2 linked regions of the Drosophila melanogaster genome follow. The protein of the gene in region 1 interacts with the protein of each later gene in a pairwise test. Each region holds a gene or a part of one and is shown on either strand. Other genes may lie near its edges.

Region 1 (4,779 bases):
TTTGGTTTATCCAATCAAACTGCTATCATTTTATTACTTATCATGCGTTCCAAACGTTTCCGTTACGTTCTTATCAGATGTGTGTGTCAGTTGTTAATGTAAAAGTAGAAAACGTTTTTAAAATTAATGAAGTTTAGGGATCTAAATTCTAAATATGCTTTCCAACTTTGCAGCCCTTCAAGCTGCACCGCCTGGACGAAGGACCCGCCACGGAAGTGAAGCTGACCAAGGATCAGGCCCTCAAGTACTACACACAGATGCAGACGATCCGTCGGTTGGAGACGGCCGCCGGTAATCTGTACAAGGAGAAGATCATTCGCGGCTTCTGTCATCTGTATTCCGGCCAGGAGGCATGCGCCGTTGGCATGAAGGCGGCGATGCGGGATGTGGACAACATCATCTCGGCGTACCGTGTCCACGGATGGACCTACCTGATGGGCGTCTCACCCAGCGGCGTACTGGCTGAGCTCACCGGTGTCCAGGGTGGCTGTGCCCGCGGCAAGGGTGGCTCCATGCACATGTACGCACCGAACTTCTACGGAGGCAATGGCATCGTGGGTGCTCAAGTTCCTTTGGGTGCCGGCGTTGGCTTGGCCTGCAAGTACAAGGGCAATGGCGGCATGTGCCTGGCCCTCTACGGTGATGGTGCCGCCAATCAAGGACAGGTGTTCGAGGCTTACAACATGGCCTACCTGTGGAAACTGCCTGTGATCTTTGTCTGCGAGAACAACAACTACGGTGAGTGCTGTAGAAAGTGGAACAATGCTAAAAGATATTTACTTAAACCAAATGTTGTATAATTATACCCATTAGGAATGGGCACCAGTTCTGAGCGTGCTTCCTGCAACACTGATTACTATACCCGCGGCGACGCTCTGCCCGGAATCTGGGTGGACGGCATGGATGTGCTGGCCGTGCGCAGCGCCACCGAGTTCGCCATCAACTATGTGAACACTCACGGACCTTTGGTGATGGAGACGAACACGTACCGATACTCTGGACACTCCATGTCCGATCCGGGCACATCGTACCGCACACGCGAGGAGATCCAGGAGGTGCGCCAGAAGCGTGATCCCATCACCTCCTTCAAGGAGCTGTGCATCGAGCTGGGTCTGATTACCACCGATGAAGTTAAGGTGGGTTTGGCTTATAGGGTTTTATTTTTGTTATGAGTTATGATTGCTAAAAGAAAAAAACATCTTCCAGGCCATCGATCTGAAGGTACGCAAGGAGGTCGACGAGGCCACCGCCTTCGCCAAGTCCGATGCCGAGCTGGGCGTGAGCCACCTCTGGACGGACGTGTACTCCAACAATCTGGAGCCCAAGCTGCGCGGCACCATCGCCTACGATATTGATCACATCCAGGAGCGCAAGGGCGTCAATCACTAAGTCATCGGGCCAACGAATCTGATTCGGGAACTCACAAGAACCTTAAACGAAACAAGAAAACCGAACAGCAAACACAAATCACTGACAGACAGACAAGAAGACACAATAACTCAGAAACTTGGACACAAGCGAAATCTCTAGATCATAAGCCGAAAGTTGAACGATGAGAACCCCGTAGAACGGAACGGATCCGAAGAGACCCACAAAAAGCTTAGCTAATCGGAGCACTCCAACCACACATCGTAGCGCACCACATAACTCTGGGGTACTGCATTGGATATTATATTGCGAACGTGTTCAATAAGGATAAAGCGAGGTGTAAATTGTTGAAAATATAAAAATCTAGAAAAATTAATCCAAATTAGTTTTCTTAACAAAAGTGAATCAAGTATGTACTTTTGAAATGTGAAAATCTCAGTCTGTTTCACCTATACTTGCACTATAGAATTTTGATAGATTTATAAGATATTAATAAACGGAATAGATTTAATAGATAATTCGATTTGTGGAAGAATTACAGTTCGAATCAAAGTAGTATTTGAAAAGGAGCAGTTGTCAGCTCCATAAGCAATCCCAAAATCGTTATATTTCCTTCTCGTTCTGTTTAGTGACAGTTGCCATCTCTGTCGATTTGCTTATGATTTTACTGTCGATTTCTTTTCGGTTGAGTACAAATCCATTTTTCAACAATTTCCGATCATATTCAAAATTTTAGTGCGTGGCAATTGCCCATTTGGCTACAAGCTCATTTTAGTGCCCCGGTGTTTGGGAATTGGTATTCGGGCAAGGGCCAATGATGAAGTTCAGTTGTGTCCGCGTGGCGATGAGATGCAGTGGAGCCCACTCCATCCTCGAGAGAAATATGCTCTGCAGGATAATAGGGCGCCACAAATGTAGCTGTTTGACCCTGGAGAACGTAAGTGTTTTGATTATCACAAGAAGGTCAATGGATAAGTAAATACCATTGAAAAAAGCTATATCGTAAAAGTTATATTTTTCATTTTGAATTAAATTATGTACTCTGAAAAATGTTTAAATATTTGCTGTTAAGTATAGCTGATATAAATCTAACATAGAAACGACTTAATCTGCTCATCGCGTAGACCAACACTGAATATAGACATAAGCTGCTGATATTTTTCAGTGCTGCACAACACATAGATTCTTCTTGCGTTCCTACTAGAGCAGCATTCCGAAATGGGTTACTTTAATGATTTTGTTATGCCCGTTGCAGACGTTCAAGTGCTACGACCTGGAGAATGGACCCACAATGGACGTGGAGCTGTCCAGGGAGGACGCCCTGACGATGTACACGCAGATGCTGGAACTGCGCCGGTTCGAGACGGTGGCGGGCAACTACTATAAGGAGCGAAAAATCCGCGGCTTCTGCCATTTATATAACGGACAGGAGGCCGTCGCTGTTGGCATGAAGCAGCGTTTGAGGTCCTGCGACTCGGTCATAACGGCATACCGTTGTCATGCCTGGACCTATTTAATGGGTGTTTCCCTTTACGAAATAATGGCGGAATTGTTCGGAGTTCGAACTGGATGCAGCCGGGGCAAAGGTGGCTCTATGCACATGTACAGCGATAAGTTTTATGGCGGCAATGGTATCGTTGGTGCCCAAGTTCCGCTCGGCGCGGGAATTGGCCTCGCGCACAGTTATCGCAAGGACAACGGCGTGTCGGTGGTCCTTTATGGTGATGGTGCCGCCAATCAGGGCCAGATCTTTGAGTCCTTCAACATGGCCAAGCTGTGGTGCTTGCCCTGCATATTCGTTTGCGAGAACAATCACTACGGCATGGGCACCCACGTTAAGCGGGCCTCTGCCATGACGGAGTTCTACATGCGTGGCCAATATATCCCTGGTCTTTGGGTCGATGGCAATCAGGTGCTGGCCGTGCGTAGCGCCACCCAATTCGCCGTGGACCATGCCCTCAAGCACGGACCCATTGTGCTCGAGATGAGCACCTATCGCTATGTGGGTCACTCCATGTCCGATCCGGGTACATCGTATCGCTCGAGAGAAGAAGTCCAATCGACGAGGGAGAAACGCGATCCGATTACAAGTTTTCGCAGTCAGATCATCGCCTTGTGTCTCGCCGACGAGGAGGAGCTGAAGGCCCTGGATGATAAGACTAGGAAGCAGGTGGATAGCATTTGCAAGAAAGCCACCACCGACAGGGAGGTAGAACTTGATGAGCTGCACACCGATATCTATGCCAAGAATGTGGATGGTAAGATCCGCGGCGTGTCCGGATTCCATTTAGAGCACATCAAGCTGGCGGAGGTGTGCTTTGGCAAGCCGAAGAAGACGCCGGCCAGCGAGATCAACGACGTGCCAGTGGGCGCAGAGATTGACGTGGCCAAGGCCAAGGAAAGGAAGGCCAAGCAGGATGCCAAGAAGGCCAAGGAAGCCAAGGAACCTAAAGGTGGCGACAAGAAGGGCGCCGACGCCAAGCAGCCCAAAGGCGAGGGCGACGATGGCGATAAGAAGCCAAAACCAGCCGCACAGCCGCCCACCAAGGCGCCACCCGCTCCCAAAAAGTAGTATGCCCCCACGGAATGGAACACCATCGTTAGCTTTTCAGCAAGTTGAAAGTTTCGCCAGAGTGCTTTAGCTGGTTTCTGAACCCAAAAGACGCAAGCAAATTTATGTAAAACATATACAGTATGATTCCGTTTTGAGTTGGAAATGGCGAACTTAAAATATATATTAATTAATTATATTAGTAATGCAGTTTTCGTTTTAATTTTTTGCTTTTTGATTTGAAGTATAAGCATTTGTATTGAAAGTTTGAAAGTTGAAAGCATAGATTATGAAAAGATACGGTACTTTTCAGAGCTTTTGGGCAAAGCGTTTGGAGCTTTTTCTAACGGACACCTGTAGCAACGCGCTCCATTTCGCGCTCCTTGGCGGCAACTGGCTGGCTAATCGAGCGGATCTGTGGGGAGATCAGAGCGGTGCACTCATTTTATCATTCCGCCTAAATGGCTTCTTATTATTCTTCTTGGTCTTATCTCTACCGTTCGGTTGAGATGAGAGCCACGCGCTGTGCACCCGCCCTCTCTCACGTCCGCACCCTCTCGCTCGCACACCTGCCCGTTGTGCGGGGAATATAGTCGATATGACCGATCGGGGGATTCAGTCTCCTCGCGATGCTCTGGCGTTGATCTTCGCCGATCTTCACGTGCTAACCGAGGTCTTTCCTGTCGCCAGTCCACTCTTTTTTTTTTTGTTTTTCTTTTCTTTTCACTGCGGGTGTGTGTGTGTGTTTTTTTGGTTTCTATTGTAAAGTGTGTGGATTGATTGATTGAGGAGCATAAACATACATGTGCAAATAATCTAAACAAATTAATAACAAATAATAACAAACTATTAATGTGTTC
Region 2 (4,509 bases), on another chromosome or scaffold:
GTTGGGGCAGCGCGACAAATCAAAGCGTTACAAAGCTGGAAAATGTGTGGAAAAGTTGCAGTGCAATTTATTATATGCTTTTGATTCTGCAAATCTAGCTGATGTTGTTCTTTCTTTTTTGTTTTGCTCCACGTTGTCGCTAGCACTGCGGAAATGTTAAATATTTGTTATTGCAGTCTAATGTTTCCGCTTTACGAAAGACAACAGACAGGGATTTTTCGAGACTGTGCTATGTTTGTGATCGAAGAGTTGTATACTTCTTGTTTAAAAGTAGTATATATATTACAATTAAATATAGTTAGAAAAAGTTAGTGGAAGATCAGAGCACTTGTAGTGTGTGATAACTGATATAAGCAGCACTAATATACCCCATAAAATTCAATTCAATATAAAAATCTTTTCTGGCAATGAAAACTATTAGCCCCAGTCATAAATCTTTAAGACCAAAGGCGTGGATGTGGAGAAGTGGAAGTGGACCCCAACCAAAAGCCGGGTTCGACTAACCGCACAAGGGACCACAAGAACCGAGCTCCATTTGGCTGCACAGACGACAGTGGCAAAGTCTGGGCCAGACATGGCACAATTATGACAATTTCTGATGCATAACGCTGCATCCATAGAGCTTTTAATGCAATAAACAAGCGACTGGAGCGTCATTAACACTGACAGGAATCGGTAAGGGTAGGGAGTAGGAGGAGTGTAGGGGGGGGGGGGTTGATGCCAAGGAGCATTCCCGGCCTTTTGTCGCTCACTAATTGTCTGGCCTGGCCGAAATGTGCAGCGCATGCATGCAACGCAACGCTCCAATTCAGGTGTGTGTCAGTTGGCCGTTGTCGCCACAAAACACTTTGCCGGCAATTGTCAGCTGGCTTTTGGGTACGTGTTACGAACAGTGATGGGAAATGGAAATACTTTCTCCACGGAGTACAAAATTAAATTAAGATACTAAAGATTACCTTTCCTGAAATTCAATAAAGAAGCAATATAGCAAAGTGGATAAAGTAAGGAGCTCTCGTTTAGAATCTATAACTTCTTCTTTTAATAAGTGAGTTACTATGTTTTTTGTAATTTTTGTACTTGTACCTAGTTTAAGTATTGGTACAAATGCTTTGCTCGAGCCGTACCTGCCAACACTGCCATTGAGTAGTTGTTTTAAGGCCGTTGCAGTTGCAAGTTGCTAGTTGTAGCCAAACTCACTTAGCAGCTGACAATGACAGTCGCCTGCCTCTCTTCTTTCCCGCATCACCAGCAACACCACTATCAGCACCACCACGATTACCACCCACTTCAAGTTCACCTGCGTTAATAGCCGCCTGCCAGGCAAGTGTCTGGGAAAGGCTTTGCCCAGTTGCCTAAACGACATTGTCACTTGCGGTTGGTTGGGCGCATCATCTCCTGCTGCTTCAGCCCCAAACTCCAGTTCGTCGTGCTCGTCCTGTTAGTCCTGATCGTCCTGTTTGCGGCTTCTGCAGTCGAGTTGCCATCGGTTTATGGCAGGTTGAGCACCAGCGACAATGAGCCACGCTGGTGCACCGTGTAGTGATAAACATGCGCGCTTTTCGGCACAAATCAATTAGCAATTGAATTTGGTGAACTCAAAGACGGTGAAAATGTCCGACGGCCAAATGACAAATCAACTCAACGTGCAACAGCAGGAACAACATCCGCTGCTTTCAGCCATCTCAGGAAATAATTATGCGTAAGCCATGGTCAAAGGCATTGGGATGTCGACTGTATTTGCCATACAGCCAAATCAAATTAAATTTGATATAATTAAGAAGTGGCACACTCACTCAGTTCCCTAGAATTATATTGTTAATCTGAACTCGCTTAAGTGCTTTTTATATATTTATCAAGAAGTCCTGCTAAACAACATCGTAAATAATGAATTAATTCTTTTTCAGTCATTGATATATGCAAAACTTAAACGCTTTAACAAACTTCTTTCTTCTATCCTACGTAATATTAATAATCGCTTAAAGGAGCCTTGAAAGAGTTTAGTCAGTTGCAACAGGATAAAGTGTGCTCTTTGGCTTAAAGATTAAGTGCTGGAGTGCCGGAGGCAACTGCAATCGCAAACGACCCCTGGCCCAAAAGACAGCCACTGCGGGCGCGGACTGATACCTCAGGCACTTAGCCGGGCTAATGTGGGACACAAACAGAAGCGGCGTCTCGGCCACACAACCACATGCCCAACCCCCCCCCCCCCCCACTCACTCATCCGCTTGCCCGCTTTCACCACTCACCTTCTAACCTTCTCTTGCAGTCAAACGCAGCGTGTGCATTACTATCCCAACCACTACTACCCGAGCCACTACTTGCCGGGCCATTACCACCAAGGACACCAAGGATACCAGGGGCAGCAGGGACGACCACCGCTCCTGGCGGCCGCCAGCAGCCACAACGGTGCTTATGCGGCCACGGCGGCTGGCAGCGGACACTCCGGCTACGGGTAAGCAAAGAACCACCGCTGCACTGAGAGAAAAGCAATGGGATGAACAAGAAAATTCATTCCAAATATACAAAGAAATTAAACTGTTATGAAAAAATATAAATAACTATTTGAAGATGAATATATACTTAATAATATTGATACTAATGAATACTAAAGTTTCGAACTTATCAACCTAAATTACCTATTTCTTCCTGTGCACTGGCCATCAAAGTCAAACCATAACCCCAATTCCAGTGCAAGTTCCGCATCTAATGCCAGTTTGAATTTTGCAGCGGCATAGAGCCATCCGTGGAGTACGAGCTGCAGCATGACCCACCCTCGGGTAGCTTCTCCTCCTTTCATCCCAGTAGTGCGGGCAGTGGGCCCGCATATCCATCTGCCCACCATCCGCCGGCTGGTCCACCACCGGCTCCTCCGCCCACCAAATCGTCAAAGAAATCGAAGAAGAGCAGCGGTTCGGTGATGAACGCACTAACGCTGCTCTCGTTCTTCTTCTTTGTTAACATGCTGCAGAACTGCCTGAAGGATCATATGGCTGACATGAATCCCACCGTGATGGTGCTCACAGCCAGCGGCACTCGCAATCGTTTCAACAAATTAGCCGAGATGAATTCACGCGAACAGACCTCGACAACGGCCACCGAATCGGTAACGGCATCGGCAGCGGCATCATCTTGGAATCATCAGGCTGCTTTAGTTCCGGCCGTCGAGCCAAGTGTGCCGCCCTCCATTGTTACGCCCACGGTGGTGCTGCAATCGCCCTACAGCCGTCACACGGAGATGGCCAATAAGCCGCCCCAACGCCAGCCAATGGAGTACCAGTCGAACCCTCAGCAAAATCATCACGATTATCGGCCCCACAACGCGAATGATGATGCTTATAATTACGGGCAGCGCCGACCTCCGCCTCAGACCTTCTCCACCTCCGATGGCGGCGATTTCTATCCTAATCGCACACACATCGACCACTCGTCCCGGCCCGACTTTGAATCGGAGTCGGGCTCCGATTACTATCAGCACCACTATAACCCGTATGCTGGCACAAACTCCCATCGGCATCCTTGGTCTTATGGCAGGCAGCGTTACTCATCCGCACCGTGGTCTTCAGCTTCGTTGGGCGCTCAGTCGGGCGTGAGCTCTTACTTGGATAATGCCCAGCGACGGCAAGGTGATGATGACGATGGTCATGGTTATGGCTATGGCTATGGCCACAGGGATAGGGATCGGGATAGGGATAGGGATACGGATGCAGATGGTTTCTGGGATGAGGACGAGAATGGTCAGCAGCGGCGACGCAGCGATGCTTTCTATACTCGCACACGCATTAATTGAATGCAAGAATTCCGCGCACATTTCTATGTTGCATGGCGGGGATTTGCTGCATTAACCCATTGCACAAAAATGGGGTGGCATAATGTGGATGGGCAAAAAAAGATGTGAATGGATTTTTTTTTAGAACAGCTAAAGCAGCGTTTATAGCTTATGGCATTTTACATTCTGTAAATATTATCCACGCTCTTTCGTTGTAGCTTAAAAATACCACATTTAACTTACTTGTATTATTGATTTTCATATAAAGTTATAATACGATATAAGAATTATTTTACATTACCTTTAAAAGTTGTATATCATAATGCACGACCGAGGGTTAAAAATGCTTAGCTTACATGTATTTATAATTAAAAGCAAACAACGTGCATAAGAGCTGACAAAAAATGAATGGAAAAAGGCGATGAGGCGGTGAGGCAGACAGACACACCCGGCAAGTTGGAATCGTAATGAAAATAAATGCTAATTTGTTGCACAACAAATTAAAAGTGCCCCCAGATTTTGCCTGGCGCTTGGCTAAGACTTTATTTTATTGCCTGCCACAGCAACTAAGTTGCAATTTTCCGGACTCACACACCCGTTTGTCTAATACAAATCTGTTGCATTGCTACCTAGCTAGCAGTTTACTTATTTAGTGGGATTTCGTTCTTGGCTCCACAATAATCACGGCCAATGAGCGGCAAAAGCAAACTCGTGTCTGTTGGATGGTGGCACTGGGGTAGCTT

Evidence for each region.
Region 2: the proteins of CG7024 (region 1) and CG13407 interact in a two-hybrid assay, tested with the Drosophila melanogaster proteins (one large-scale study listed by BioGRID).

The regions. Positions count from the first base shown.
Region 1 is NC_004354.4:4,703,382-4,708,160, forward strand, and holds CG7024 (uncharacterized protein), read left to right. Parts: upstream 1-1,927; 5' UTR 1,928-2,182; coding exon 2,183-2,305; intron 2,306-2,623; coding exon 2,624-3,940; 3' UTR 3,941-4,123; downstream 4,124-4,779. Other genes in the region: Pdha (pyruvate dehydrogenase E1 alpha subunit), read left to right, coding at 174-738, 814-1,136, 1,207-1,389.
Region 2 is NT_033777.3:22,101,804-22,106,312, forward strand, and holds CG13407 (uncharacterized protein), read left to right. Parts: upstream 1-1,610; coding exon 1,611-1,699; intron 1,700-2,266; coding exon 2,267-2,452; intron 2,453-2,727; coding exon 2,728-3,787; downstream 3,788-4,509.